2 linked regions of the Drosophila melanogaster genome follow. The protein of the gene in region 1 purifies or fractionates together with the protein of each later gene. This does not show direct contact. Each region holds a gene or a part of one and is shown in the gene's direction. Other genes may lie near its edges. The genes, in order: bowl and lin.

Region 1 (15,852 bases):
CACACACACATTACAACGTTCATAGTAGGTCAAACAATAATATAATAGCGATTAATTCGGAATCCAGTAGTTACTTTGTCATATAAAGATATGATCTTTAAAATGCTGATTTCCTGTTTTTTTGGGTCAGTGTTCAAATACCGAGATTGAGTGAGGATGCAACAATTTTGAAGCTTCTTTTCGTTTTTATTAATACGGTAACGAATATATATATATAAATATATATTTTATATATTTTAAATAGAGATTTCCAATTTGGCGAGGCGTAAAAAATTAGATAATAAATCTATGCATTATGATGATTATATGATATATACATAAGAGTCAGCCATTTTATGTTGTTACTCATCGAGTGGAAAACGAGACAGCAAAAACCTAACACAGAAAAAGGAAAAAAGAAAACTAAATAAGAGCTTTAATTATTAAATAAAAAATATACCAAGAACAAATGACAAATGTGCCTCTTGCTGACAGCCCGGGGGCATTGAAATGCATCTAAACATCATTAATTTGGCTCAACGATCCGATTCCCATTGGAACCCGATTCAGATTCGGATATGGTCCCAGGCCCAGCCCAAAAGTATCAAACACACCAGCTACCTGCTGGGGCCAACGAAGCATTTCGAATGCGATCAATGAACCTGTTGCTTTTGGCCCTCTAGCTACAAACTACCAGCTGAACTCCGAGTTGGCCACATGTTTTACACAAATTTCAAGTAATTTATTTTAAAATCGTAAAGCGATGCAAAATATGCAAGGAGGGAAGCCACTTCAACCGACGGGCACTCAGAAAAATCACAACGATCTTATGGTTCGCATTAGCATATATATCTTATTTGTACATCTTTATTTTAAGCAAAAAGAGCAAGGTAAGGGTTAGATATTAGATATTATTATTAAACAATAGTCAATTTCAATTTTATGTATTGTGGAATCCAATTATAAGGGAGACCAATTATGGTAATTATTTATTTTATTTCTTATTTACTTATTGTTATTTATATATGCTGAAAATTATTTTCCGAGTGCAGCAAGAGCAACAGTTGTTGATGGGGGAAGTCGACGACGACTAGCATAACAATTCGCTCGCCCTATGAGGCAGCTACCGTTTTTCCGTCTTCTCTTTTCTACCACTTATTTCTGGTCTTCTGCCTGTTGCCGCTTTGTATCTCCATTTCCACTTACTGTTTTTGCAGTGGCAGCAGCCACAATTTAGTTCCACTGTGCAGCACCTTAATTACATGGCTACGGACTCTCTTTTGTTGGGTACTTTTCGGGTTTTTCTTTTCTGCATCTCGGAATCATTACGACCATGATCACCGTCGTGGCCGAAACGTAACTCCCTCTACTTTTGGGACCCTAGCTGATTTTTGGTCTTTTTGTTAACGTCTTTTCTTTTACCACTTGACCGCATTGATGCTGCATTGCGAGCAGAGGTTGCCAGATTGTTAGAATAGAAATTTTACAGTCTATTATAATAATATAAGACCTATTTACATAGCCTAGCTCGAATCAATCATTTACCTATGTTTTATTTTTTTCCAAGTTCCCGTGCTCGCCTTCTTTTATAAGGACTAATTACCATTAATAAAAGTCAGTCTGGCGATAAGATGGTTTCTAGACTTATATTGTTTTACGACCTATTTCCATAAATGAATTGTATAACTCGGCTGCCGATTAATCATCAGTGTATATTTAAATACATATGTATAAATATTTTTCCCTAAAGCTACCAACTAATTATTCCAAATAAATATTTACTTATCAGTAGAACATTGGAACTTGTCATAATATAGATATATAGTCGTGTGAGTAATGCACTTTATTTCACCCCAACTTTCGACTTGGCAACCCCTTCTTCGAAGAAACCTTATCACCTTGCCTCCCTAAAAATGCTTTCTGATTAGTCATTCCCCTAAATGAAACCGCAACAAAAGCCGAAGAACAAAATACACCCCCACTAAAAAGGCATAACAATAAACAGGGAACTACCAGAGTTACACCCTCCTCCTCCTTTTCGGGTGAAGCCACCATAACGATCCATGGGCAGCAGCAGCAACGGCAATCTGGCAACACCCGGGCCAATTGTACCCTACCCTCTCGACTGGGCCAAAAAAAAAAAAGCAGTCGGTGGTAGTCGGTAGTCGGTCGGTAAACAGGTAGCGCTCTAACTGACAATAACTCGTCGTACGAATGCACGTTCCACGCTCCGCCAGTGCCAGTCTCCATATAAGTCCGTCCACGGGCCCATCCGTCCATTTAGCAGCGTGCGACTGGCGGCCGGTTGGGTTTGGGTTGAGTTCGGTTTAATTCCTCTCCTCCACTGAAAGAAATGTCGTACTATATTCAAACTGAATATAAGTTACTAGTTAATTCAGAAAAATATGTAAATGCATCCATTATTTATCTAGTATATTTAAGCAGATAGATTTATACTGTTGTTATTTACAGAAAATTAGAGCCTTACTCTTCAGATATTTAAGAATTGTTAAAACTTTTTCCACAGTGCACTAAGCTGGTTTTAGTGCCACTGCTCGCTACTCGTCGCTTGTCTCTTTCTACGCATTTCTCAGCCCGCGATTCTCTCGATTCTCTCTTTTTCCATTCGGGCCCTGTTTCTTGGGTTCGTGGCTCAGTCTTCGAGAGTTGATCGTGGCCAACGCACCTGCGCGCGGATCGCTGGTAATAGCTGTTGGAAAAGTGAACTGCATTGTGAGTGCCTCTCGCTCTATATCTATCTGTATCTTTCGCCGCCGATGTATCTTATTGAGCGGGCCCAGAGCGCTAGTGTGTGTGTGTGTGTGAGTGAACTTGTTGCATCGCCAGTTGCCTCGAGAAAAGCGCTTTTCAACTGCAACTGACTCTGTGTGTGGGAAGAGTTTGGGACTACTTGAGGAGCGAATTGGTAGCTGCACTGGCTTCAGCTCCTATTTCAAACAAAATGTAGAAAAACACATTTCAGCTGCCGTGTATCTCTCGTTCTCGTTCGGTTTTCAGTTCGTTGAGGTTGAGGTTTCGGTTCGGGTTTTTCTTCGTTCGGTTTTCATATCTGTGAGATACAAATACATCGTGTGTTTGTGCGCGAGTTGTACGTGGATTTTGGAAGGAAAAAAACTACGTGGTTTGTGGTAGCTGACTGCCGTTGATGCTGCTGCTGCTCCCGTAACCGCCCCCCTGCCGCCCCCTCAGCCCCACCCCCTGGGGCGATCGTGCCGTGATTTGAATCTCAAAATTGTCCCTTAGTGTGCGTGTTTTTTTAAATACATTTACTTGAGAATGATTCGGTGAAATACTTGTTAAAATTAAAATCAAACCTGAAAATATAACAAAAAATTTCCGACAAATATTTTGAAAATTTTAATAAAATTATTTACTTTTAAATTCACAGAATCGTATTAACAGAAGTCTTCAAACAAATACAACAAGAAAAAACAACATACAATTCAAGTGCCACTTAAATGATATAAATTACTACTTTAAAAACCAAAAACAATGCCAAGCATTTCAAAGCTTACAAACTGACAAAAAACCAGCAAAATCATATTGAAACAACTACTTGGATACTTTAGGACGCAAAGATAAAGCCCAAAGAGCCTGGGGCTTTCTTCTGTTTAACCCACAGGTAAGATTCCGCCGAGAACAGGCCCTGCCTTCCCAGATGAACACAAAAATTCCACACCACTTATTTTTACTTGTTTTATTTTTTGTTGTTTTTTTTTTTGTTTTCTGTTTGTGGCGTAGGGCTAGCTAATTACGTTTATTATTTTTTTATTTTGGTATTTTTTGCGTTGGCCAAAAAGGCAGCGAGTACAAAAATATAACGAGTACGCAGACAGAGAAGGAGAGAGAGAGAAAGACCCAAGATATATCTCAAAACCTGCTCCACAAATAGAATGAGACGGGGCGAAAAAACAGGAAAGAGAGCGCAACAACGTTGGCGGTTGGCGGACTGTCGACCGACAAGCGGCTTCCACTACAACTGCATGTGCCACTGTCATTGCCACTGAACTCAGTGTGGTGCCGCACAGTCCACGGTGGAGTACGTCCCCCATCCCCCCGCAAACTTCCCCACCATCCTGAACCACCCGCTTGCCCCATTGTTGTTGCTGTGGCGCTCAGTTCGAGTTGGTCGGTTCGAGCCGGACTCGAAAAACCTTCGCTTGGAATTCTGGGGGTCTCTTATGGGTGCTCTTGGTAAGGGTACTTCGTTTGAAAATGGTGTACACAATTTGTAAAATATTATTTAAAAATATTAATCGGTGTTAATAACGTTACATTTCTGAAAAACTTTAATTTTACAGAATTTCAAAGCATCGCGTTAGGTTTTAAAAATATATTTTACGAAATTTAGGCAAACTTAGTTTAATAAGCTGATAGTTTATAAGCTTCTTATTTATTCCAGTGTTTTTTTTTCAACAAGTCTACTCTAGTTTGATCTATAGTATTATTTACTTATTTTGCCTAGGGTATTAAGTGCATCGGCTTTATAGATCGTGATTTTTCACATGTTTCTTTCATTTCTGTTTCTTTTCTTTGTAAACCAGTTCACTTGTAGCCAGTGCCAGTGGCCAGTGGTCGCTCTCGCCGTCTTTTTCGCTCCTTCTCGGCTTGGAATCCGGTTTTTTTGGTTTTCTGTTTTCGGTTTTCGGTCGTGGTCGCTGTCTTAACTTGGCTCGATTCAGATTCGGAGCTCGGCTGGGGCTTTAATTGTCCAGAACGTGTGGCCAAAGAGGAAACGCAATTGCCGCAAGCTTCTGTTGGGTTCAGATACCGATTCGGATTCGGATTCAGCCTCAACCTCAGACCATCATCATCATCGTCATCTACATCTCTTGATTTCTTTTAAATGCTTTACTTTTTCCTTCATTTTTAAGCTTTTTTTTTGTAGAACGCCTCCCGCGCTCTCACAGTCTGAGTTATTATTATTTTTTTTTTGTATTTTTTGGTTGCGGTTCTATAAAGTTATTGGCTTTTGTTTCGCCTCAGTGGAGATCTATTTTGGATATTCATTGTCTTGCTTTATGGGCCATTTGGTTTTGTGTCCAAAAAGAGTTTTAGCATAAGAAAGGGAGTACCATAAAAGTTTATTACGCTTTACCTCTTTGGGTGGGTTTTCCTCTCCATCTTGGGCCACCAACTATCATTTTTCGGTTGCACCAGCAGCAGGGGAAAATGTTGCTGGTAATTGCCTTGTGGCAGGAAAATTGAAATCGAAATTAATTAAAATCGTGACAAAATACTTGATGAATTTAGATTTACCATAAAACCGCAGAACAATGGCTCGTTAGGGATCGCCATATTCGGGTTTTAAATTGAAATGGCTATATGGACACGCCTCGTTTTGGCACGTGTGTATAATTCACCTGATAGACCAGTTCATTTATTGTTGTTCTGGAACGGGAACTCATCAATTTTGATGGGGAAATTAGATGTTGTCTAGGGAATATGAATTTTTAATGCTATCAATGAAATCAGACAGCGGAAAGGTGATTATCAGTTTACATGTTTAGTTTTGGGCTGGGTTCCAAAAGTTGTCGAAGAAAAAAATATATAAATAATTTGTACCAAGATTTGTGTGCAATTAGCATAATCCAATTGCATTTGAATTAATAAATCATAGTCTTAGTGCTTCTACACTTATTAGCATAAACTCTTCCAATAAATAAGAATTGACCCATTGAAATTATAACACAATAGATTGCCTGAAAAAGTAGCAATCCGACCAACAAAAGATCTTAAGAGTTCTATTCAAGGGTGAAATTTTTGAATGGATTTAGTTCGAATGAAAGGAGCAGCACAATATGACAATAGAATTTATACGAAGATCGGCTTAGCATTCAAAGTGGATTACTTCAAGAGGGATTAGAAAGAGTCAAAGTTAAGCCGAAATAATTCAATTTTAGGAACTAACTGTCTGAACTTCAGTTAATCCTAAGAAGGTTTCAATTCAAAAAAAAATATTTATTTCAGCAACCAGAGGAATCTGGTTATCTGCAGCTCGCCATTTATCATTTAATAAAAATCCATTGGTGGATATTCTTGCTCACTCCGCGTGCTCCATACTTTAATCATAACAAATCTTTGGTCGTAACTTGAAAGCATTTTCAATTTATGCTAACGACATTATCAATCCTGCTGCAGCTGCATTCCCGAACCCATAAAACTTCATTAGCAGTTGTTCGTTTCCAGATTTCCCCGCGAAATTAGCAAAGCTTTTTAAATTAATGGCCAGCACACACAGGAACGCGGGGGGTGGCGGAGGGTTGAGGTGCAGGGTTCTGGCCAGCACTCCAAATGTGTAAATCTCATGGATATTAATCAAGAAAATTATAGACAAGGCTGCGCAGGAAGATCGCCTGCCTACCTCGGGAGCAAAAAAAAAAAAAAAAGAGAAAAACAACAACGCAACTTGCTTTCCACCGAGGGCAATGATTATGCTAGATTTTTAATAGCTTTGACTATAATCTCAGATGCTGCTTGGGCCCGAAAGGGTTTTCAGATTAACGCATGTGAAGTGCAGGTCTCTTTGGTTCTCCTCTTCGACTATAATTATAAGTCTGCGTCGGTTTTTCCTCCTCTCCATCGCTGTCTTGATTATTAGCTACCTTCACACAAACATATGCACACTCGGTGGAAGAAAAAGTATCCCGAAGGGATTAAAACACACAGCCTGGCCAAGAGCATTCCGCACTGCACAGCGGATCTCGGCGACCCTTTTTCCATTCCTTCACCCGTAATACCCATACCCATACCCATACCCATTCTCCTCCTCCGGGGAACTCCTCCCACCACTCCACTTTTCTTCGTCGTCATCTTCTGGCTTGTTTGTTGTTGTTGGCCGGTGTTTTGTAAGCAAACTGAAGTGCATATGGGGGCCCGGTAAGCACTCGGCCCAGAAGATAAGGTCCGAAATAAAAGGTTTACTGATAGACCGCGGGTGTACCTCGGCCTTAAAATTGTGGTAGGTATTTCTAGCTAACGGTCCCTATTTCAAAAACCATTGCTAAGAACCTTTAAAATAGTTGAGCTCCGGTTAGTAGGTAACATGGGATTGATCTTACTGATTCATATAACGTTAAATGATAATTTAATTCAAAATTATTTTTTTCTTGTCATTGAGCAACATTCTGTTTTCTGTAAATACACAGATCCTTCTAAGATATTAAAGGTTATATAATGGCTTGGTCGGGAAATCCTGATATACCCCTTTCAATACATAATCACTGGGCAGTAAGACGCATGGACATTTCCAGCCATCGTAGGCCATCATCAGAGGGACAAACTCGCCTCCTCAGCTCTCTGCGTTTTCTATACAAATACTAAATCCGTTTGCTCAGTGTGTGTCTGTGTGTGTTTGTATATTTTTCTGTTTTTTTTTTTTATCAACTAAAACCTTTTCACTCTGCTGGGCCCTGGGTTTCTGCTGGCCTCAGTTGTTTACACACAAAAACCCAGCAAACGAACCGATCCCGGACCCAGAAATCCAAGGAAAAGAAGCAAGACGGCTCAAAAAGAAGAGGAGGGAAAAAAGTGGCAGCCAAATTGCTCCTCGATATCTTTTATTTTCCTCCCAGCAGTAGTTGGTCTTCTGGCTCTTTTTATTATATGTACGATACAGAGAAAGAAAAGATATTAATATTACCTCTCTAATTAAATATGCACATTTCAATATTACATAAAAAAGTACGTACTAATTATTTTTTGTTCATTTCCCTATATATTCAGAATTATTTGATATACTCTTTTTTTTAATATTAAATAATTCACAAGAGTGCACAATAATTTTTCCAGTGCACCTTCAGACGCACACATATTGGAAACTTTAAGCCTTTGGCTTCATTTACTGGGCAACCGTTTGCGCAAACGTATCTGTGGATCTTTGAGTACGAGTATCTTTGTATCTCCGCATCTGTATCTGTATCTGTGCGCACAACTCTCTCTCAATATTTCTACGGCAGTCTACGTGCCGTCGCTTTTGCTGATGATGTCCATTATTTACATGAATTTTATTTGTTTTTCTTATTTGGCTTGACGTTTTCAAAAGTGCCGATGTTTCAAAAAAGATAATGAACGCTGAATTGTACATTGTATGTGCACAGGGTATGGGGTGAAACGTGGGTCCAAAGCGGTCGTAAATGCAAAAGTGTGGAAACAATCCCTAGAAAAAGTACTGAAATCGAAAAAAATATATATAAATACCCAAAACGGGTTACACTTCAGTTTTTTTTTTTTTTCGAGGCTACCAGAAATACGTGAGCCCAAATTGGAATGGGATTATCGGGATCGTAATCGAATGAGGCATGGCGGGGCCATCGCTCATCTACAGCAAAGGTTCCCTAAGTTGGGGGACTTATTAGATCAGATAAGTTCTTTATTGAATCGAATATAGATAGACTGCGACAGATTATCAGTGAGGGCACGAGAACTCGCATGGGTGAGAGTTAAAAGGTATTGAACTGAAAGAATTATCCAATTACTATCTAATAAACGTGGAGATTAGTTTGGCATGTGCTAGTCGTATTAGGGAAACAAAAACGCTTCGATATGGCTTTCGTAAGCATTTCTAGTGTAAATATTACAATTAGATCATCTATTTGCCTAATATCTTAACTGCGTGCTCCGTTGTCTACTAAAGACTCGCTGATATGATAGCACGATAAGACCTACCCACATCTAACAGCTATTTGAATTAATAATTGGGACCTGCTTATATCTCATCCACTTGAACTATACGTGGTCCGTAGAGTCATTCCCCCATAACAATGATACACTCATGATCAAGTCATGATTTCAGCTACTTTATAGAGCTAATCTGACAGCGCACTCTCCAGCCAGACAATGCCAAAATAATTTCCATAGATAAGAGACCACCACAATGACTAGTCATCCGTACGGAAAGAACGGTAACTTCAACAATGGGCGCCTCTCCAAAAAACTTGGCTAAGCTCATTTTTAACCAACTATGACGATCACTTCACTTGTTGTTAGCCGAATGTTAATGTTGGTCTTAATGACGTTGCAGCATTTTGCATTAAAATCAACCGAGACAGCGAGAACGATTCTAGCAAAATGATAAGCAAAACTGTCATTGCACCGACAGCTGGGTTATTTTTAAAGCATTTTTTTTTTCAACTGGTTGTACATTTAAATGAGGATAGTACACCGAAAAAAAAGGTTGACTTACTGAGGAAACTTTGCTCTCTGGGGCGCACTCTTTGCGAGCCACAAATTTTAAAGCATATTACTATAAATTCTTTTAATATTATAACAAATATAATCTTATCGTAAAAGATAGATCTTAAAATAGAATTCCATAGAATTGGGTACAAAATTGGTGCCATTTTTTTTGCTGTGCAAGGCGTTGGGAAGATGGCAGCCAGAAGCGTTTGCAATATGGGGCCACAAACTTTATGGTCCGGCCATCATTGTGATCATTATTATGTGCATTATTTTGTTATTATCGTGATGATCACGTTCCGGGACCCGATCCCCTGCCCCTGCCCCTGCCTCTGCCCCTTCTTCTTTCGAGGCACTCAGAAGTCGAGGCTCCTGTTGCGTAAATCCAGTAAGCAGTCGGTCGAGTTCGGTTCGAGTCATTTACCAAAACCGACGGCAACTTGGCTGCCTGCCTCTGTATCTGTATCTTTGTATCTGTATCTGAGTGTGCCGGGGTATCTGCCGATATGCCATATATCACAGGCACATATATAATATAACTGTGTGTGTGTGTGTGTGTTTATATCGTTACTACTGTGCTGCTTACTCAGTCTCAGAGGTTCGGAGGCAGGTTTTTTTAGACGCACAATCTTATCTAACCTGCGCACTGGAAGCAACCGATCGCGGTGCCAAACTGCGACTCGTTTTCAGTTTAGTTTCACTCGCCGTCGTCGGCAGTCCGCCGCTGATAATAATAAACCAACAATAATAATAAAATTCCTATGGAAAAAACACAGCAACAAACCCATAGACGAGGGCCATAATGTGATAAACTGCTTAGTTACCCTGTGAAAATATACGTACTGTGATACCAAAACGTTCTCAGAATCGTATGGGTTATTTTCGAGAAAAATATTTTCTTCATTATTTTTTTTTTTGTGACTACTAAATCACGTTCACGTGGATAAATTCTGAAAGATCAGCTAATGTGATAATCCTTGGCTATTTGCAAGTTAATTGCCCATAAAGCTGTTTAATTTTGTGATAAGAAGTGCAAAAAGCAAATTTGAAGAATTTCACATCTAAAAAGTGAGTTACAACCGGTTGAGATAAAAAGAGTAAATATTCTATAGTATATATTGTATATATTCCTGTGCCTTGCCAAACCAAGATCATGAATATTTCAATTACAAGGAAACTTCCCACCAAGAAGAAACTAAGTTAATAGTAATATATCTATTTTAAACCAGTTTGCGTCAGTTTTTATCATACCCAGTACTACCCTAGGAGCAATAAAGAATACAACGTGGAAATATCTGTTTATTGCACTCGGTTCGCAATTAAGATAAGCCTCGAAAAAAAAACGAGAGCCCAATTAACCCAGCACAATCGTGTACTAATTGTTATTTACCACTACCCTTATTTTATTTTCGGCTTTTTCTGTTCTATCCCTATCTCCGGCAGTTCCAACGGAATGTGAAGAGCCCCTCCAATATAATGCCCACGGAAAGCTCATCCAGCGAGATCTCCGGCGGAGGAGGCGGTGCGATACCCATGCTGCGACCTTCCCGGATGGATCAGTTCATGAACTCGATGGCGGCGGCAGCGGCGGCGGTGGGTGGTGGCGGTCTTCCTGGTGCGGCGGATAGGAACGGCGGATCCGGAGGATCGGATGGTGGCTCCCAGAATGGCAACGGCGATTCGCGCAACTCATCGGCCAGCCGGATCTCAGCGTATGAAACACAGCTGGCCTATCAGCAGCATTTGGCCGGACTGCATGGTCCGCCGCCACCGCCACCACCATCGCATCATCGCGAGATCTCTGCCTTTGTGCCGGTTCTGCCCACCGGAAAGGTGCGCCCGGGTAGTAATTCCAATTACGAAATCATTGCCATGATGGCGGACAAGCGAAAGGAGTTGGCCCTAAGGGAGGCGGCTGCGGCGGCGGCAATGTTAGGACGAGGTCCTGGAGGACCCGGCGGTCCTGGTGTGCCACCGCCTGGAGTGTTGTACGGACCAGCTGGCGTGCCACCTCCGCCATATCTCACCGGACCGGGTCCATCGCCCACGGGAGCCGGAAGTTTTCCATTTCCACCAGGAGCCGCCGCCGCAGCTCTATTTCCACCTGGCCTGGGTCCTGGAATGCATGCCGGACTCGATAGGCGCCTGCTACGTGCTCCTGGTCGGGCATCGCGGCCTAAAAAACAGTTCATCTGCAAGTTCTGCAATCGACAATTCACCAAGTCGTACAATCTGCTCATCCACGAGAGGACACACACGGACGAGCGGCCCTATTCCTGTGATATCTGCGGCAAGGCGTTCCGGCGACAGGATCACCTGAGGGATCACAGGTGAGTCGAGGTTGGGGTACAAGTAATCACAAAAGGGGGCAGTGTCTGCTCGGGTAATTGCCATCAGGCCTGGAGTTATTCTTTGTGCTCAAAGTGTGAACGAATGGCGAATAATGGAATACCCTGTAAAGGCAAAGGATAATTAGATCAATGTAATTTATTGCTTACTAGGCAGTTTATACACACATTCTGAACAGGTGTGACAGTAATCTCGGCCAAAAGGGAAAGGCGACCACTACTCGTAGATGGAGTTTTATTGATTTTAGATATATCAGACAATCGCTTCAAAAGACCCCTTTTACCATAAGGAATTTTCCAGGAAATGTTTAAACTTTACGACGAATTTTCCTACCTCAACTCAAATAAGTAAGTCCCCATAAAGCGGACCCAAAATCAGAGCTCCTCTGACGGCCAGTAAAACTTCAACTCGGCCGCAGAGTACAACACAAAGTTAATTAACTCTGTTGGTTTTCCTTTGGGGCTCCTCCACCAGCATTAAAATTGAGGGATGGCCAAGGGGTTGGGGGCTATATATCGGGTCTGTGTATCCCGGTGCCGATGCCCATGCCGATGCCAGGCAGCAGGTCCAGCATCCCGGCTTCAATGTGTCGGCCTGTCCGAGCGTTCTGTCTTTTGATCGTTCGGTATCGGTCCATTTGTCGTTTGTTTGCTTTGCCGCGGGGCTAATTCTTCTTAAGTTTTTTGTATTTTTTTTTTACCAGAAACGCACGGAGCATGGGAGAAGAATCTCGGTGCTTCGGAGGCAGAACCTGTTTTGGGTTTTTATACATTTATTTTTTTTTTTCCACCAGCAGCTGCTGCCTCCGATGCGATGCTGAATCTGTGGCTCCGTCGAAGATGGGGACTTTAACTTTTAACTGTGGCTGCTGCTATCCAACAGCAAGTGGACGCCATTGCCAAGATGGCCGCCATAAACATAAAAAATTAATGCAGCCAGATCGCATACACGAAAGTTAAATACCCTATCAGTTAAGAGGATACAAAATCATAGGATTTCTTTAATGAAAAACTTTAAAGAATTGGGTTTAAGGTTAAAACAAATCCAGGTTAGGTTTCATTTTGAAAGAGAAAGATAGGTATTATATGCTATAGTATTATATTATTTATTCTATTGTCTGCTCTAGCCAGTTATATCCTTAGTTAGAGTATTGTAAAGCTGTATATCAGTGAGCTTTATCGGTTCAAGTTAAGGCTGCATTTGAGCAGAGATAACTGTCAACCTGGGCTACCAATTGCAGCTACCAGGAAAACGCCCACGCTATAACAATAAAGTCTAATTGTTTCTCCACTTGTATTCGCCCAGGTATATTCACTCCAAGGAGAAACCCTTCAAATGCACGGAATGCGGCAAGGGATTCTGCCAATCGAGAACCTTGGCTGTCCACAAGATCCTGCACATGGAGGAATCACCCCACAAGTGCCCCGTCTGCAGTCGATCATTCAATCAGCGCTCCAACCTGAAGACCCATCTGCTCACCCACACGGATCACAAGCCCTACGAGTGCTCTTCATGCGGCAAAGTTTTCCGCCGTAACTGCGATCTACGACGCCATGCCTTGACCCATGCAGTGGGTGAGGTCAACTCCGGGGACTATGTGGATGTGGGCGAAGAGGATGAGGCCAGAAATTTAAGTGGCGACGAGGAGGATTCGTTGCTGGAAGTGGACTCGCCTCGCCAGTCGCCAGTTCACAATTTGGGCGAGTCTGGAGGATCGGGTGAGAAATCTGAGTCCGAAAGAATGAGACTCAAGCGCAAGGCAGCCATCGATCATGAGGAAAGCGAAGAGGAGTTCGATGACTTCGACGAGGAAGAGGAACTGCAGGATCTGCCAAGAGTACACGATTTGCCCAGGGAAGAGGACGACGACTTTGATCCCGAGGACGAGGAGCAGGCAGAAGTGGCACTAGTGGCGCGTTTCCAGGCGAGTAAGGCTGCCGCCACATCGCAATCATCGTCGTCAGTGGGCACCAAGCCGGAACGCCAGGGAGTCACCCACTGTCATCATGAGGGTGGTGAAACCTACACAATGCGGCCACATGGCGAGAAACATCAGGAGGAACCCGGGAACTCTGGCATTGCCAGCCTACCCGTTCCACCTTCCTTTGTGCGATATTCTGTACCACCTGGGGCAGCTGGACCGCCGCCTGCACCACCTGGAGCTCCTCCGCCAACCCACCAGCACCCAGGACATCCACACTTACTCCCACCCAACGGGGATCCCTATTTGCCCATTCTGCACGTTCGACGCGACTTGCACCACAAGAGCTTGAACCTTTCGAAGGCTGGTGTTCCACCGCCACCACATACACCACCCACTATAATAACCCAGCCGGAGTCGGGTAAACCACCCAATCAACCTTTGCATTCACCGCATGAAGCTATGCCCAGCTTCCTGGGATCGATACCCATGCGAAAGAGGATTCTTCCGGCACCGACCTTGGACTTGATGGATCCGCACCACCATCCTGGATTGGGTCAAAGGACCTTTGTGGATAGTCCCAGCATATATGCTTTGAATATGTCGCGACATCCCCCCAGACAGCTTCTGGGAAAACCACCGAGTACGGAAACAAGTGGAGCCACCACCGAAAAGGGACCACCAGTGGCAGCACCGCCCATAGCACCACCGCCTGCACCACCGAGAAGAACAGGGTTCAGCATTGAGGACATAATGAGGCGTTAGAAGTAAACCGAGAAAGAACTAGAAAACAATCCATTAATGGAGGTAAAATCGGAATAGAAAAACAACACAATTTGGAAAACTATTTATCAAAGCTCTTACGAATTTGAAATATCAAAAAGTAGTAGTATTCCTAATAAATATATATCTCGGTTGTTTTTTCTGGTATTTCATTTAGAAGGTCTTATGAACAGTTGAATATCATAATGACAAACAGTTATTGTTCCCAATGGTTAAACGAGGATTTATCGTTTTAGACCCACAAGTACATTAAAATAAATTTAGATCTACAATTTAATACTTTTTAGTACAATGTCTAGGCAAGGCAATAGACCTAAACTAAGTAATAAAATCAGTTAAGCGATAATTGTAAGCGAAACAAACTCCGTTGTTGCATTTTATAGAGCTCTTATGCGTTAGGATTTTAGCTTAAATCTACCGATTTAAATGTTTAAGCCTTTAGTACGAGAGTCTATCGATTAGTTTTTAATGTGTGGCCCAACACTAAGTGTTGCTGTTTGCTGAGTGAATTCCAATTTTTTATTTATGTTTCCTTATCCGGTAAGCTAATCTTAATGAGTAAACAAAATCGTTAATCGATTTTGCTGTAGGGAAAAAAATGGTTGAAAGTAAAAGTTAGTGTAAAGCAGAGCATAAACAAAAATCCAACTACAAGCAACATTCCAGTAGAACCTTATGTAATTAGGCTTAAATTTTAAGAGTTTTGCAGTAGTTAATATAAGCAACCCATAGAATTCCATGGTCTTCCTTCAATTTTAAATGATTTTATTCAAACCATAGCGAGTTAGTTGATTTCAAATAAAGTATGCATTAATAATGAAAAACAATTGCGTGCCATTTTTTTCATTGAAGTAAAAAAAAAAAATCGACTTAATCTGGCCAAGAATCCCAAGGCATCGCCTCAAATCCACTTTATTCAAAGCACTCCGGGCAGTTAAGTTGAAATGAAGTTAGCTAATATCGGCGAGATCGATGTCCAGATTTTTTGCCGCTTGATTGAAAGGAAGGGATCTGCGTAGAGTTATAAAAATCCACTGACTCACTCGCATGAGGCCATCAATCACAGACGGCGGTAATAATACTTCAGGCACGTTTCGAGGCCCCAGCCACCAAGCCCCTCCCCAACCTCCTAGACACGACAGTTTGCGGTTTGTGGCAACGCCTTTAACATTGACTCAAATCGACGAAAAATCGGTGGATGGGGATCAAATCAAAGTACACCACTCGAACACGTAGAAAGTTCAATTAAAATGCCACGCAAATTGTCATCACCGACAGTTGGAGTTGCCCGGCTTCCTGGAATTTCCTCATTGGGCGGATTGGGCGCCCATTTTTTACCGCCACCGATGACATCAATTTCTGGTTCAACTATAAAATAATACGCGTAAAGCCAAAGAGTTTCTCCGCCAGATGATATCATTTGGGTCCAGGAAAGCACGTGATTTGTTTGCCAAACTGTGCGTGAGAATGCTCTTTTAATGCCTTTATCTTCAGTAAAAGTTTATGAACTTCATGGAGCACGCAGATTGTTTAATATCTGTTAAAGACCGAAGGCTAACTCTTAGTTGGCTTTTTTCAAAAATATTTATATTGAATGTTTTGAATAACAATTTTCAATCGTA
Region 2 (15,852 bases), on another chromosome or scaffold:
CAACAGCGCCCTGCCCATCTCGCAGAAGAAAGTGCAAAACGAAGTGCCCATGGAAGCCCGACTAGAACATCTTAAAATTCAAGGAACCAAACTGAGTGGCGGCAAGTTGTTGACGCAGAGCAAAACGCAGCTGCTAATGCAGGCATTACACAGCAAGGATCAGGCGTAAGGGATTTTCGAACAATGGCAATAGATGTTTTAATAGAAGTTCGTTTTTTAAGGATGATACAAGCCGTTCTGAGCACTCAGGATCCAGAGACGATACAGTTGACCTTGGATCGGCTACCGCTCGATTATGTCAATCCCCTGGTCAACGAACTTTCCATCCTGCTGCAAGGAAAGCACGCGAGGTGAGTGTTTTCCGTAGAGCCCTATTGAGTCTTTTTCTAAATACGTTCTTTTACAGTGTCCGCTCCGCCCTGCGTTGGCTGCACGCACTGACCTCCACCCACACTAGTGTCTTGATGTCCGAGGACAAGGAGGCTTTGCGCGAAAAACTAGCCGTTTGCCTCGGCGTGGCGGAGCAGCGCATGCACTGTCTATCGGAAGCTTTGCAGTAAGTAAAATTGGGGAATTGAAAGACACAAAACAAAGGTTTTAATAGGGAAATCAAGTTCAAGATCCCGATTTCTTTGAATTTTTCGGCTTGATATTATTCTTGGGCTTTTCAATGGTGCCGTGGCGACACTCCGAGATCGCAGCGAAGAAGGTCAGCTTGGTGTGCAGAATGGTGTCGATGTAGAATCGCTGAAAAGTGAACGAGTTGAGGCATCGTTCGCCCAGGCCGTAGTAGAGCGTGTTGTAACCCTCGAAGCGGTAGGTGATCATCACGGGATAATGCTTCAATAGAATCTTCGACAAGGAAATGATGAAACGCACCTTGGCGACGGCCAGAGGATTCGGACAACGGGGTGTTGGCCGAGAGAAATGGGCATCCACAAAGAGAATGGTTCCCTTTTTGGCCACCTCGTGTCGAATCGGATTGCTGATCACCACACACTTCGTGTCCGGCGAAAGTTCCCAGCGACTGACAAAATCCCTAATGTCGGCAATGGCATTGGAGTATTCAAAGTCCCCGATGGTCAGCATCTTGCGCGCCAAGCCACTGGATACGGAGTCCGCCGAAATGCCAAGGCCACCCGTGTAATGATTCGTGATCGAGGGATCATCCTCTCCGTTGGCCACAATGGTGTCGGTGAACACTGAAGAGATCAGGCTGATGGAGGACATCTTTTGCTTTTTCGGAAAGTTGTAGATAAAAAGACCACGCGGGTCTGACTCAATAATGGCCACCGCTTCGCAGAGTGTGCCTTCGATCAGGTCGATGATGCACTGCATATCAGCGTCATCGCAGGCCGGCTTGTTGCACTGGTTGACTAAGCTGGATATGCTGGGTATTATGGCAATGGGTAGGGCACCGCCTGGTCCCAATGCTGGCACGCCACTGCCTGGACTCGGGGGTTTCTTGTTGTGGGGGCTGGAGAAGTAGTCCATACAGCTAGCGCCATCATTGCACAAAAGATCCATTTTCGAAATCTGGCCACGACAAAATTTAGTAATGCGTGTACTCCTATTATTGTTATATTGGCAATATTGTTATAACACCTTTTCAATGCCTTCTTTATTTTTAGAATAACCGGGCGAGTCAACCTGATAATTAACCAGATGAAACGCAACGCGGACAATCATCTCAACGATAACAAAGCCCTGATCCTGGACGAAGATCCAGGTAAGTTATCAAGTGGTTTTATTCGCACAAGGCTCGAGTCTTAATTCGCTTGCTTGCAGATGAGCCCGATCCCGAAGCAGAAACGAACTGGAGCGATCTGGAGGAGGATCAGCCAGGCAGTCCGAAGAGCCCATTGGAAGACGAGCTGGTGGCCGACGACGACCTGGCGACCGACGATGGTAACGCCGACGCAGACACAGACTCTGACGTATCCATGGATTAGACAGTCTACCCGTAATTTAAGCTTAAATGCAATTCCCTTGTTGTTGCGCCGCGAGAAAATAAATTAGCATTTTTTTCCAAACACAGTCTTTTACATCGAATTCATAAATTTTTATTTACGGTTTTAAACTACGTGCAACAACGAATAGTGAGAGCCAATTGTTGGTCTAATTCCGACACGAGATTTCATCGATACGCAAGCAAACAAACATATCCAGTTCATAAATACAGTTGAATAATGTGCCAATAACAGGGGGCTTGTAGCTCGAGTATACATAAGCGGCGGCTACTGAATAACGGCTCAGAAACTACTAACAATTAGAGCATTTGTGTAAACATTTCTTTTTAATTCGCAACAAATAGCCAGACATGATTACTTCCAATTGGCTTTGATGAAGTTAATTAGACCGTTCGTGGAACTGTCGTGCGTGGAGACCTCGTTGCAGTGATCCAGCTCCGGCTCGATGGCCTTGGCCAGCTGCTTGCCCAGCTCCACACCCCATTGGTCGAACGAGTTGATGTCCCAAATGATGCCCTGAACGAAGATCTTGTGCTCGTACAGCGCTGCAAAATCAATTGACATTAATAGGTGCTCGTGAGCTGAAACAGTGAGACGTACCAATCAACGCGCCTAGGGTGAAAGGTGAAACCTTCTTCACCACAATCGAGTTTGTGGGCCGGTTGCCGACGAACACCTTGTGGGGCAACAAGTTATCCAGCTCGTTGCCGCACAGGCCAGCCTTGGACAGCTCGGTCCTGGCCTCGTCGACCGTCTTTCCGGCCATTAAAGCCTCCGTCTGGGCAAGGAAATTCGATAGCAGAATCTTGTGGTGCTTGCCGCCGGCAATGGGATTGTGTGTCTGGGCGGGAGCGATGAAATCGCAGGGGATCAGGCGGGTGCCCTGGTGGATGAGCTGGTAGAAGGCGTGCTGGCCATTGGTGCCAGGCTCGCCCCACACGATCGGACCAGTGCTGTACTTGACGGGTTTGCCCGACTTGCTGACGAACTTGCCGTTGCTCTCCATATCGCCCTGCTGGAAGTAGGCGGCGAACCGGTGCAAGTACTGATCGTAGGGAAGGAGGGCATGTGTTTCCGCCTTGAAGAAGTTGGAGTACCAAACGCCTAGCAACGCCAGGATAACAGGAGCCTAGGAAAGCCAATAAAATGGTTAACTATAATCATTTTACTTAACTCTCAGTTGAGTCTTACATTCTTCTCGAATGGTGTCGTCTTGAAATGGTTGTCCATGAAGTGAGCTCCATCCAGCAGTTGCTCAAAGTTCTCAAAGCCAATGGACAGACAGATTGACAGTCCAATGGCCGACCACAGGGAGTAGCGACCGCCCACCCAATCCCAAAAACCGAACATGTTGGTGCTGTCAATGCCGAATTCGGTGACCTTTTCCTTGTTGGTCGACAGGGCCACAAAATGCTTGGCCACGGACTCAGGCTAAAACAAAACAAAAATAGTTTGCAAATATAGGCCAGACTAAAATGTTGTGATGTAACTATTTGCTTTGGCTGCGTTATCTATTTTACATTTAAGGCAAGTGGAATTTCATATTGGAAACATTTAATTCGAATTTGAAATCCGATTTAGCCTTTGATTAAGTCCATAGGCTGCATTTGATAAGCACATTAAATTGATTTGATAGCTTGAACACGTCAAAATGGTTCTTATAGAATGATAAGAAAAATCACTAGGGTCCATTGATGGTTCATTGTATTAGTTTGGTTATCTTTGCTTAAAGCGCTATCAATGAAGGTCATTTAATGTTCGACCTTTCGCTGTACTTACCTCCTTGGAATGCTCCAGGAGCCAGGTCTTGGCGGAGGTGGCGTTCGTAATGGTCTCCTGGGTGGTGAAAGTTTTTGAGGCGACAATGAAGAGGGTGGTCTCGTAGTTGACCTTCTTGAGGACCTCGGCCAGATGAGTGCCATCGATGTTCGACACAAAGTGGGAGTGAAGGCCCTTGCCGTAGGGCTTCAGCGCTTCGGTGACCATCAGCGGGCCCAGATCGGAGCCACCGATGCCGATGTTGACCACGTCGGTGATCTGTTTGCCGGTGCAGCCGCGCCACACGCCGGAGATGACCATGTTGGTGAACTCCTTCATGTGGGCCAGTTCGGCGCGCACATCGGGCATCACGTCCTTGTCGTCCACCAGGACGGGATCCGTGCCGCGGTTGCGCAGGGCCGTGTGGAGGACGGCGCGGTTCTCCGTGATGTTAATGTGCTGGCCGGAGAACATGGCGTCCCGCGCGGCGTTAACGCGGCGCACCTTGGCCAGGGTGAGGAGCAGATCCCAGACCTCGTCATTGATACGGTTCTTCGAGTAGTCCAGCAGTATCTCGCCATCGTTCTGGGTGTGCAGGCGCAGGCTGATAAACAAACGAAAAACATTTGACCTCAGAGCAAGTACGATTCGGAGGTCGTTGCTGTGACCTTACGCAAGGACAAATCGAGTGGCGGCGACACTCGACAGCCGATGGTGAAAGTGAAAGTGGGCAAAGCGCAACTCGATGAATAAACGATTGCCGATGGGGGATACACGAATGAGTGTATGTATGCGGGAACTAGATACGTAACTTCCACCCTCTGAGGCGAAATCGACACAAAAACCCACCTGTATTTTGAGAATCTCTTGGAATCCTTCACGAACAGGTCCTTGATGTTCAGGTCCTTGCCCTTGGAGTCGTAGTACTCCTGCAGCTTCTGGAACGCTGCCTCCTGGTTGAGCGGAGGAAGTGGGCCGGCCATCTTACTTCAGTTATCCCAAGCAGGAACAGCAGGCGGATGCGGAGTAGAAGGGCAAGGGAGGACTATTTAGCACTCGATGCAAATTAGTAGCACACGGAGAAGAGAGCACAGGCGAACTGCTTCGACCGCTCGCGACACTTCACTTATAATAGCGGATCCGGCTGCTTAGGCGTCGGGTAGTTCCTATTATCTGGCTCCGGCAAATCTCCAGAGCACCGCACCACAACTTCGCCGTGTTTGCTTTTGATAGGTACTGACTGAGCGGCTGCCGATTTTCCAACGTCCTTTCTGGAATTCGCGAGCACCTTTCAATGTCAAATGAAAAACAAGCGAGTGTTGCCACGTCGGCCGCGCTCTTGTTTTAATGTGCCGATCGGTTTGCAGTGTGTGCGAATTTACTGTGTGTGGCCGCGTGGAGATGAACTGAGAACTTCCTACTCCTAGATCGTCTGCACCGGTAGGCAAAAGGACATAAACTGAAATTTTCAAAACGACTTAACCGCCGCTAACGGCATAATTTTATCTCGATGTGGCAGCACGCTCGGTGTTCAGGGCTGTCAGGTGTCAATGACTATCGAATAGCATTTCTATTATTTAATGTCAAAAATGTAAAAATAAAAACATTCTTAAAATTACTTTAAAGTTACCCGTTAAATTAGCACATATAAATTGAAAAATATTTGTTATCTGTAATTAGCTTCTCACAAAATATTTTTTGTTAAGTTCTCTGCAATCTTATAATTCTCAAGCACTTAATTATTATCACGCATTAGAAAATTAAAACTACCGGAGTCATTGTTATTAGAATTACTTTAGCAAACATTGTTGCTAAAGTTATAAGCGTGCAATAATTATTTTTAAAAAATAATACATTTCGGAAAGTAAAATATATGTGAATTGAGTTGTGACGACAGAGCTATGGTTGCGAGCCTGGCTATGTATATAGCTAACGCCAAATACCAAGATCCGTTTGGCAACGCTGCGCAAGTAGGGTTACCAGGTAGCTGAAACTCGCTAAAAGATGGCGACGCGCACTTAATTTTTGTTTTTTCCCACATAATAAAGTGTAATAAAACCAAAATAAAAGCAGTGCCAGAGAAACAATCGGAGGCGCTTAAAAAGTGAGAAACAGCACACGACCCAATCGACTGGCCCGGGCACGAAGCGAAACGCGAGTGCAGTGAAACTCACATAAACATTGACATGTCGCTGGCCCGAAGAGTGCAACAAGTGTGTGAAAATCGAATTGTGGCCGTTTAAAATGTTTGGAGGAGCAGTCAGAGCACCTGGCGGCAGCTAGAGCGCCCTCGTCGCCCCCAAGAAATCATAGTGTGTCTCAGGAAGCCGAGAGAATCGCCCCACGAAGCCAGGCAGCAGCGTCTGCACACGTAACCTTGTGTGCGCGTAGCACGGAAGCTGTTTGTCGGAATCGGGTTTGTAGGTATGTGGCTGCGAGCCGCCGCTTAGATTCGCTGCTCACCGGGCATTTCGCTTGCAGACCATTTGCAGGACGTCGGGTACGTCAGCGCGGAGGATGGACACCTCATCCGCAGCAGGATCTGGAGCCGGAACGGGCGATGTGTGCCCATGCTCCACGGTAGCAACCTCCACGACCTCCGCATCAAACGAACAGCCGCAGACCAAGCGCCAGAAGATCGAGCAGCAAATCAAGGTGGGCTCCAAGGCGCTGCCACCCCAGCCGCCCCATCCGCCGGATATACTGGACCTGGACGCCAACAGCAACAGCCACCTGTGCTCCTCGCTCTCCTCGTCCTCTTCGCACTCGCTGTCAACGCCAAGCACCGCCAACAACTCCCCCACCACCACGCCCTGTAGTTCCCGGGCGGCGTCGTACGCCCAGCTGCTGCACAACATCTTGCCACAAAACGGGGACACAGACCTGCACAGCCAGCCTGAATCCGCCCATGACGAAGTGGACAGGGCGGCCAAATTGCCCAACCTGCTAACCCTCGACACGACCAACGGCAATGGCAGTCATGCTAGCAGCAGGAGCAATTGCTTGCAAGCAACAACAGCCACGTCCATCGACGATATGCTGGAGTTCGAGCAGTCCCTGACCCGCCAGTGCCTGTGCGGCGTCTCGGAGCGAACGCTGCGCAAGCCCTTCCAGTCGCATTACTCACAGGACACCAACGGCCAGAAACGGATAGCCTACCTGCGGGAGTGGCCCACCAACAAGCTGCTGCAGTTTCTGTCGAATCTGCAGCTACTGTTCGATATCTACCTGAAGCAGAACGCAAAGGGCTTCATCTGCACGCGGATAATGGACGTTTGCGACGCACTCATTCGCAATGACCACAAGCTTATCGACGAGATTATCGTGCTGGCCGGCTACGAGAACTCTTACGTGCAATTTCTGGCGGGACGTGTGCTAGCCGCATTCCTGGTGATTGCCAAGCAAGAGCTGAATGACGAGTGGCTGCAGAAGATCGTCGACCAGCTATTTAACTTCGAGCAGCTTGACCAGGCGGCCGTGCAGAAGATCCACTTCAGCCTGGACATCATCAAGCGCATAGTGGAGTGGAAGGATATGGAGATCCATCCGCTGGACGACGACTGGATGGCGTCGGCGAATAGTACAAGTGCAGCCTCGTCAGTAGTGCCCCTTTCGACAGAGGCGTCCGTGAGCTACATGCATTTTCCCGTGCAGGAGCAGCCGCTAGCCACCAATTATTTTGCACTGCAATTTCGCGAGGATACGGAAGGTGAACGAGAGACGGGGCAGGAAGCACCTGACAACCGCGACCGACATCGGCGGCACTTTGGCGAGGATATGAACGTCGCCTACGAGCCGCACCCCGCTCCCCAGTCCACGACCATGCCCAGCGGTTGCCATGTGGTCACACTAACCGACTCGGAAAGCTTCGATACGACGCACCTGAAGTGCATCACCATTCAAAAGCTGGAGCACAAGTGGCCCACGCTGGTGAAGAACATGTCGGAGTTGATGGCGCCGACGCATCAGGATGCGGCCGAGCACTGTGTGCTCAACTTCTTGCAGCTATGGGAAAACATCATCTCGGTGAAGGCCAATCTGTCCATCGACGAGACGCGACCCTACTACGCCCAGCTGGACAAGTTTGAGCTGCTGCTCAGCCACAGCCTCTCCTGCACCGTGTACAAGCAGATGCTGTGCCTCTTCAACGAGGCATTGTGCTATGGTTCCACGCTGGCGCTGCAGGACATGCTGCCCGAGGAGACGTGCAAGCTGGCTCACCAGATAGTCTGCCATGTGCGCGGCTTCCGCATACTGGAGTCGTTGCCGCGGCGACAGCCGGACAACATGGTCAGTCTGATCGGCTACAATGGCAAGCCGATGGTGTACGCCAATGGAACAATTACCCTGGCACATGCCGCGCAATCAGGGGACAGCGAAGAGGACGGTGCGCCACTGGACCTTATCGAAATGGATAAGACACTGTTGCAGAAGATGGTGCTGTTGGTGCTGAAGTCGATAGCGGTGACGGTGAAGGAGATACGCAGCGATTCCTCCGACTCATCCATCGATTCCACCGACTACGATGCCTTCCAGGACATGATGCTCATTGAGCGCTCGATCCGCGATGTACTCAGCAAGCTGGAGACGTTCATAAAGCAGACGCTGGAATTCCATCCGGAGTGCCACTTCAGCAAGATCCTGATCCACCTGTTCGACGACCAGGACGACCACTTGATCGAGGCCATGGTCTGCACGCTGGACGTCACGTCTGGGATATCGTTCCGCAACAACGCCTTCCCCGAGCTGGTGGCCATGCTGAATCCGGTGTACACATTCCTGGAGTTCCTCAAGATGACATCGAACAGCTCGGACCTGCTGCTGGACCTGCTGGTGAGCAACGAGACCTGCTTCCTGCTCTACCTGCTGCGCCTGCTCAAGTACATCCGCATGAACTGGACGATGTTCGTGCACAGCTGTCACACCTTCGGCATGGGCAGCGCCATGCTAGACGAGGCGATGGGCGTTCTTATCCGGCTGCGCCTGCAGATATCCCGCCTCGTGTCGCGCCAGCTCTACCCCTACGACATTTCCCCCGTGCTGCGCCTGCTCGAGAGCTGCGAGAGCCTGTACGAGGGCAACGAGCTGAGCTGAATGCGGCGCAGGGACGAACTTCAACCACATGCAATTAAAATACGTAATTTATTTTAATATTTAATGGAATAGGAGAAACTAGCGCAAAATTCGATGAAGATGGAGGCCTTGTAGAATACGTGTATTAGCCGTAGGGACCAACCACTCCGACCATAACTCCGCACCCCGATCCAGTAGCGCGTCAACCGTAGTTAAGATCTTGCACCCTCTTCATCCGCTTCGCCCAGCAGGTCTTTCAACCCAGATACATACCCAGCTGTATGTAATTGTCATTGTAATTGTAATGAGCATCACAAGTTCGTAGTTAGTTCGTAGATAATGGTTATATCATAGGTACTGAATTCCAAACTAAACACTACGCTAGCCTAAGATTTTTTTAATCTTGCCCTAAGTAGAATAATGTACAATAGGATGGCAAAATGCTGCGGCAAACGGCTGCCCGCCGAAGTGGGCGTAAATTCGGTGTCTTCGAGAAGAATATTCTTTGTACGTTTTTTTAAAACACTTGAATAATATAACATAATTAACTGATTAAAAGAAACGCATTAAGAAGGACTACAACGTGTGCGGTTTCTGTTTCCGAATGGTGTGTTAAAATACTGTAGTCTCTTTGCAATTTCGTTGGGCTGTGTCCTGATCTCATCTGGACTTCTGGACTTCAATGGCGATTTATCATGCGGACGCGCCGCTTTGGATCAGCGGCTCCACTTGGCATACCACTGACTTCTGGTGGTGGCCCAGTGAGGCTTATCACCGAGCCGCGCCTGGCCATTTCCGGAGGATGTGGACTCGATACGTGCACCGTTTGATAGTTAATGCTGATCGGAACCGAGGAGCGACGGTTAAGACGAGGCTCTAGAGAAGAAAGTAGTTGGTCTTATGGGACGTGTCACTTTGTTGTGGGGACTCTTTACCGAAACGGGCTTCTCCGGATCCCGGCTTATGCGGATGCTGCTGACTGGGTCGGCTGGCCAAAGGAGATACCACCCTGTAGTGATACTCCTGAACCAGCGGAACGGACCTGGTGAAGCCTCCCTCATCGTTTAGCGTGTACTTGAAGCGATCCACAGATACGGAACGCTCCTCGCTGATTATATGCTTGCGCCGGAAGATGGGGGACTCATCCACTTTTGGCATGCATTGGGGAAATGTAGAGCGGTCAGTTTGGGATTCGGGGTGAGAGAGGATCGCAGAGGATTGCGTAAAAGCCCAATCGAACGGAGGAAATGAAACGCAAGCTAACACGGCTACGTATGTAAATTGATCACAGGAAAGCACATAGTAATTGATTTATTTTAGGATTACGTACACTTAGGACAGTAATATACATTCGAGTATGTACAACCTTATATTCGGATTCAGTACAGTTTCACAGATAGGTGAAGAGGAGGTAAACAGTGGAGGTCGTTCAAAAACACAGATATCAAACGCATAATCGAGCCCGAAAAGTGCGATGTACAGATGTATAGATGTATAGAGATTGAGGACAGACGAGAGATACACAATACACAACAATACATTTTCCGAAAAAGTCAGAAAACTGGTGCTTTAGAGTAGAGAAGATTGGCTAGTTCAGTACATAGTGGTAGATACATTTAGATTTATAGGATAACAATTCACTTGATCCCTCGTTAACACGGTGTAATAGGCTAGGCACCTGGCCCCCAGCGAGCTAAAACTTTGGCAAAGATTTTGGTGAAATACCTTTTGATGACCGGCGATCCTGCTTGTGGATCTGGGCATAAGATTGCAGCGAGCACCGGCGCAGTCGCTTGTCCCCTTTGTTCTGCTGCCGAAGAAGGATTATTCACGTGGCAATAGGGAATGGAATGCGGGTTATCCTTACCGACTTGTAGTGCTGGTTGATGTCCGAGGCGGCCTTCAGAAGCAGATAGACAAACACAAGGGCGAACAGGTAAATAATGGGCTCCGCTGTGTTACTCTTCTTGCCAACTTCCTTCTTCTTGTGCCCCTCCGGGGACTTTATCAAACGACGAGGTTGCTTGCTGACCCCATTTCCAGTGCCGTTTTTGGTTCTCTTCGTGGGCCTGCCTTGGGATCTTCTTGAAACTGCCTGATTCCGATTGGATTCCTTTCCGAAAACGTCCAACCTCTGGCACGATGCATCTGGAGCGGCGACATCCAATTCGGCGTCGGCCATGGCTTCCGGCTGGGCATGGTGCAGGTCGAAGGCAGCCACGCCCGGCTTAAAATAGTGCCTGTAGTTGCGCTGCATCCCGGCTACCATGAGATACACAGTGCAGAGCACCACGAGGATCCCCAGCGGCACCACATGATGGTTATTTGTATCCGTGTCCCTACTCACGGCACTTGCTTTTCGGTGTTTGGGAGAACAAGGCGGTGGCCCAATCTCTTCGGACAGAGCAAATTTATCGCCGGCCAGAGATTTCATAGCCGAGTGCTTACTGTTTACCAAGCAATTACCGTGTGTATCTGTTGACTGCGAGTCCTGGCTGCCGCTCGTGGTGGAAAATCGATAGGGATTGCCCACACAGCTTCACATGTTGGGTTGAACGAGGGTGTCCAGTGCAATTGAAAGGTCAATCGACCGAGGGAGATGCGCTGACAAGTGTGCTATGTGTCTATATATTTATTGGAACCTATTGCTCTACTTTTACAACAGTCTAAACTGTTTCCGATGCGATACTCTTCGCCACCCGAGGAACATACATGTTTGTGTGTATGCCTGACCTGACCTATGACATTCAGGTGGCGACGTACGTTAAGTTTGAATTGCAAAATCTCTTAAATGGTATGAACTTAAACACTAAACTAAATAAAAAGTTATGTACAAATGGTTGAAATGCTTCAGCATTCAAAGTATCCATTGGACATTCCAGTGAGTTGGTCGAGTATATCTAAAAATATACGAAATTTAATGGAAAAACTTATAAAATAGGAAATGTAATCATTTTAGGTACCTGTGATTTGTAGATCCGTAGACTGATTACTCATGGAGGTGTATAGCTTTCTGCTTTCAGCTATATTCTGCCGCTTGAACATGACAGTCCGTAAACTTTCTCCTGAAAATAGCATTCAAAACATTGGTAACCTTACCAAATTTATCTAAACATCAGCCGACTTACTTCTCAGAACATTTCCATGGGGTTTTGCCTTATCCGATTTAATGTCCAAGGTATTTGTGGGTAGCTTGTTGTCCGTTCGTCTAGTTACTCTATTCCTACGCTCTGTGTCGTAGAGGATACTGCCGCTTCGGGCTGTTTTATAGCCAGTGAAATGGGTTTCGTCTTCATTTACCCCCTTGGTATCATCAGCTAAAAGGGGAGCCAGGGGAATAGGAAGTTCCTCCTCTTGTTTACCAGCTCCCAGGGAGCCGTGCAATTTGCGCAAGATCGTGCGCAAGATCTTGAAGCGCTTGAGGATTCTCTGCGGCTCCACCTGGGATGCGCACATCAAAATAGCCTTGCACTCGCGCAGTACCCGGATGAACTGCTGGTAGTACTCTTCCCCCAATCGGTCCTGCGTTTCGCTTAGACCCTTTCGGTTGACTTCCAGCTGAAAGTGCTCGACTAGCAGCAAAGAGATTTGAACCAAGTCCTCCAATCGCTGCTTATCGAAAAGCTTTTCCGTTGCACTTATCCCTGAGGTCAGTATCTCCAGGCAACAACCAACGAGGGCGCGGCTGTCGATGATCTCCTGAAGCGCTGCCTTGAACTTGGCCACCTCCTCGTTAAAGTGCTGCTCTAGGATGTCCGAGTGCAAATCGGAACCATGGGCCTGCAGTGAAGGTATCAGAGTGGTGTCCAGTGATTCAAAGGAGGCCAGACAGCTGCGCATTATGGTTTTCACTGAAAAGGAATTGGTACTGGAGTTAATTGCGTTTTTTTTTATAATTATATATAATTATTATACTTTTCAAGTTGGGCGCAAAGGAAATGGCAAAAATGCCTATCTGGGTGGCGCGATCTATGTTCACATCAAAGTCCGCTATGAACTCATCGGCCAGATCATCATTATCTGGGCTGTTCCTTAACAGCGCTCTAATTTTGTCTACCGAAAACTTCTCGAAGTCCAGGAAGCATGTGAATACCAAGCGCAAAAGCGCATCGTTGATAAAGTCCTCCAATTGGTAAATTGCCTGTTCCATGGTCATGGCCCGCAGCTTAAGGGTGGACAGGTAGTTGGCACTGAATGACTCCTTGCACTCCTCCTGAAAGGCATTGCACTCCCGGATGACCTAGAGCACAAATGAGGGGAATAAATAAGGGGATACTGCAGAAGATGTACACCCACCTTTTGGCACAAGGCACTGAGAGCCCTCTTGTCCTGAGACAAAGCCACATTGGCGAATCCCAGAGATTGACCCAAGATCAAATCAATGTTGGCGCGCAACTTCTGGCTGAGTGGAAGGACTTCCTTGGGAGTCTTTGGACAGTTGGAGGTATCGGTGTTTTCCTCACTGTGCGAGGTGAACTGCGCCAAACAATCCAATGCGCCATCCACCAGCTTAAGGAACGAGCGCTCCGGAGCTACTGCTTCGGAACTCGATTCTTCGCTGTAAAGATGCATGAGGCGCTTCAGGCACCAGCGAATGCGGTCCAGGAAGTACTGATGACTTACCTGCTTTCAGAGGATTAGACATCATTGTGCAATGCATGGATGAGATCCAAATTACTCACCGAGACTGTGGTGCCGCATTCTAGTTTCATGGTGTTCTCCACTTGGCGAATGCAGATCATAATCTGGCTGAGGCAGAGGCACACCAGCTCCGAGCACTCCGACTGCCCCTGGGAGCAGAAGGAGCTGTGGGCCAAAGTAGCGAATTCCAATAGCACGGCGCACAGGTCCTGAAATTCAAAGCAACAAGTGATTGATGTCCTGGGGCTAGTGGTCCGTTTCCCCCACTTACATTCAGCCAGTTTGCAGCTGCTGCATTGTTCCTGTTCAGTATCAGCAGGCAGGCCTCTAGTTTCGTTCGCAAAATTTCCATTTTTGCCGGCAAATGTGAGTTCAAATGTTCTGTGGGCAGAAGTAAAAGTAAACAACTTTTTTAAAAAGTGGCTTCGGTTCCCTGTGAATGGCAAGATGGCACGGCTTGGCGTTAGTGACAACCAGGGAGGCTAGCTGCCTTCACCGCCACACGGTCCCACTGGACGCATCACTTTTTCGGTAGCAAAAACTTGTAGAAAATTGTCAATTCAATTCGCTGGTAGTTGTATATCCATGTGAAGCAGAGATAAGCTCCGCCAACTCTACCCGTCGCCCACGCCACGTCGCACAGTTGCGCCCCGCCACAAATATCGAAACCAGGCCTCACAGACCGCAAGCATACCCCAAAATGAGCTCCTCGAATGCGGGACAGCGCACGAAGCTAATTCAGGAGAAGTGCCAGACCCTCCTGACGCAGATGCTCCGCGACGAGGACAACAAGTACTGCGTGGACTGCGATGCCAAGGGTATGTTAATGGGGTCCACTTCTCCGCCAAGAGATACGCCTCTTGGTGACGCACATCTGTGTGCGTGCGTGCGTGGATATACACACCACACATGCAGCTGCACTGCGATATGAGCCTATGTGCTGTCACTGAATGCTACCTTTTATCCTTAGGTCCGCGCTGGGCCTCCTGGAACCTGGGCATGTTTCTCTGCATCCGCTGCGCCGGCATCCATCGCAATCTGGGCGTGCACATATCGCGCGTCAAGTCCGTCAACCTGGACACTTGGACGCCAGAGCAGGTGATCTCGCTGCAGCAGATGGGAAACTCGCGGGCTCGCGCCGTCTACGAGGCGCAGCTGCCGGACGGCTTCCGTCGCCCGCAGACGGACACAGCGCTGGAGAATTTCATCCGGGCCAAGTACGAGCACAAGAAGTACCTGGCCCGCGAGTGGGTGCCTCCCTCGCCGCCGAAAGTGGACTGGGCCAAGGAGATCGACGAGGAGCTTGAGCGCCAGAAGCGCAAGAAGAAGAGCACGCAGGCCCAGGCCACTTTGGGCCTGGCTGGAGTGGCCGGTGGCAGCGGCGACAAGCGCCTGTCCGGGTCATCTGCGTCGGCGCTCAAGAACACCCCCCTGCCCGCGCCGCTTCCAAAGCCGAAACCCAACCAGGTCGGCGGCTGCAGCCCAAAGACGACGCAACGCGTCCAGCTGAACAGCAGCGGCGTTAGCAGTGCCGGCGAAAGCGACCTCTTGGGACTGTCCTCGCCCACCAAGCCCATTGTCGCGACCAATGCCAGCCAAGACCTGCAAAACGAAAGTTTCACCAGCTTTCTCAGCGCCGAATCGATTGCCGGCCAGCCGGATAAGCCGATTGGCAGCAACGGCGACGCCGCCAATTTGATGGGCTCGAAGCCGAACTCGCTGGCACAAGAGGAGCAGGACTTCTTCAACCAGGGCTCACTGGGCGCCGGCGGCAACGAGAAGGATCAGTCTGGCAAGATGTCCAAGGACAGCATTCTGGCGCTGTACGGCAGCGCGCCAGCCACCCACAACCCCCAGATGAACTTTGGCGGCTTCACGGGCATGGCCCCAGGCGGCTATATGCACCAGCAGCAGCAACAGCAGATCCCCCACCAGTTTATGACACCGCCGAACTCGGTGAGCATGTATAATTCGCCAGTTATGGCTGCACCGAATGCGTTCAGCAATGCTGCCATCAGCAGTGCCACTGCGATGAGCATGGGCGGCTCCCATGGCTTTACTGGAGCCCAGTTTCCCAGCACCGGGGGCAGTCCCTATGCTGCCGCAGGCCAGGCAGCTGCAACAAATCTTATGCAAACGAACCAGAGCATTCTCAGTGGGATGCCGCTCTTTGGAGCTGTTCCGCAACAGCAGCAGCAACATCAGCAGCAGCTTCAGCAGCAACATCACCCACAGCTTGGCGGCCTCTCCATGAACTTAATGCAGCCCCTGCCCAGTGGGCTGAACATTGGCCAACCGCCACAAGGAGCGGGCGGATTTGCCGCAACGGGGCCCACCACCTCCTCAGTACCGTCAAATCTGAACCAGCAGTTTGGGAATCTTAATATCGGTAATGTGTGGCAATAAATAC

Evidence for each region.
Region 2: the proteins of bowl (region 1) and lin purify together in Drosophila melanogaster (affinity purification with western blotting; 2 studies listed by BioGRID). This does not show direct contact.

What each region holds. Positions count from the first base shown.
Region 1 is NT_033779.5:3,769,073-3,784,924, forward strand, and holds bowl (brother of odd with entrails limited), read left to right. Parts: upstream 1-2,627; 5' UTR 2,628-2,801; intron 2,802-2,847; exon of another isoform or gene 2,848-2,943; intron 2,944-2,953; exon of another isoform or gene 2,954-3,244; intron 3,245-3,388; 5' UTR 3,389-3,622; intron 3,623-9,865; exon of another isoform or gene 9,866-10,245; intron 10,246-10,620; 5' UTR 10,621-10,653; coding exon 10,654-11,507; intron 11,508-12,831; coding exon 12,832-14,212; 3' UTR 14,213-15,049; downstream 15,050-15,852. UniProt on the Drosophila melanogaster protein: Putative transcription factor. Required for leg joint formation, acting downstream of Notch to pattern the leg tarsal segments. Functions in the terminal pathway during embryogenesis, acting downstream of tll in the posterior of the embryo.
Region 2 is NT_033778.4:8,908,856-8,924,707, forward strand, and holds lin (lines), read left to right. Parts: upstream 1-5,668; 5' UTR 5,669-6,152; intron 6,153-6,209; 5' UTR 6,210-6,245; coding exon 6,246-8,822; 3' UTR 8,823-9,379; downstream 9,380-15,852. Other genes in the region: CG30349 (uncharacterized protein), read left to right, coding at 1-165, 222-350, 407-556, 1,632-1,729, 1,789-1,952; CG8252 (uncharacterized protein), read right to left, coding at 616-1,494; Pgi (phosphoglucose isomerase), read right to left, coding at 2,325-2,515, 2,571-3,099, 3,162-3,401, 3,750-4,332, 4,578-4,711; CG34219 (uncharacterized protein), read right to left, coding at 9,481-9,677, 9,737-9,959; CG8248 (uncharacterized protein), read right to left, coding at 10,495-10,611, 10,669-11,235; Spt (spitting image), read right to left, coding at 11,652-11,701, 11,765-11,866, 11,930-12,652, 12,717-13,041, 13,098-13,424, 13,484-13,651, 13,714-13,794; CG8243 (uncharacterized protein), read left to right, coding at 14,143-14,260, 14,413-15,848. UniProt on the Drosophila melanogaster protein: Has a dual role as a segment polarity protein and as a modulator of the Abd-B protein. Required for Abd-B to activate the transcription of genes (including ems, cut and sal) that are involved in posterior spiracle morphogenesis.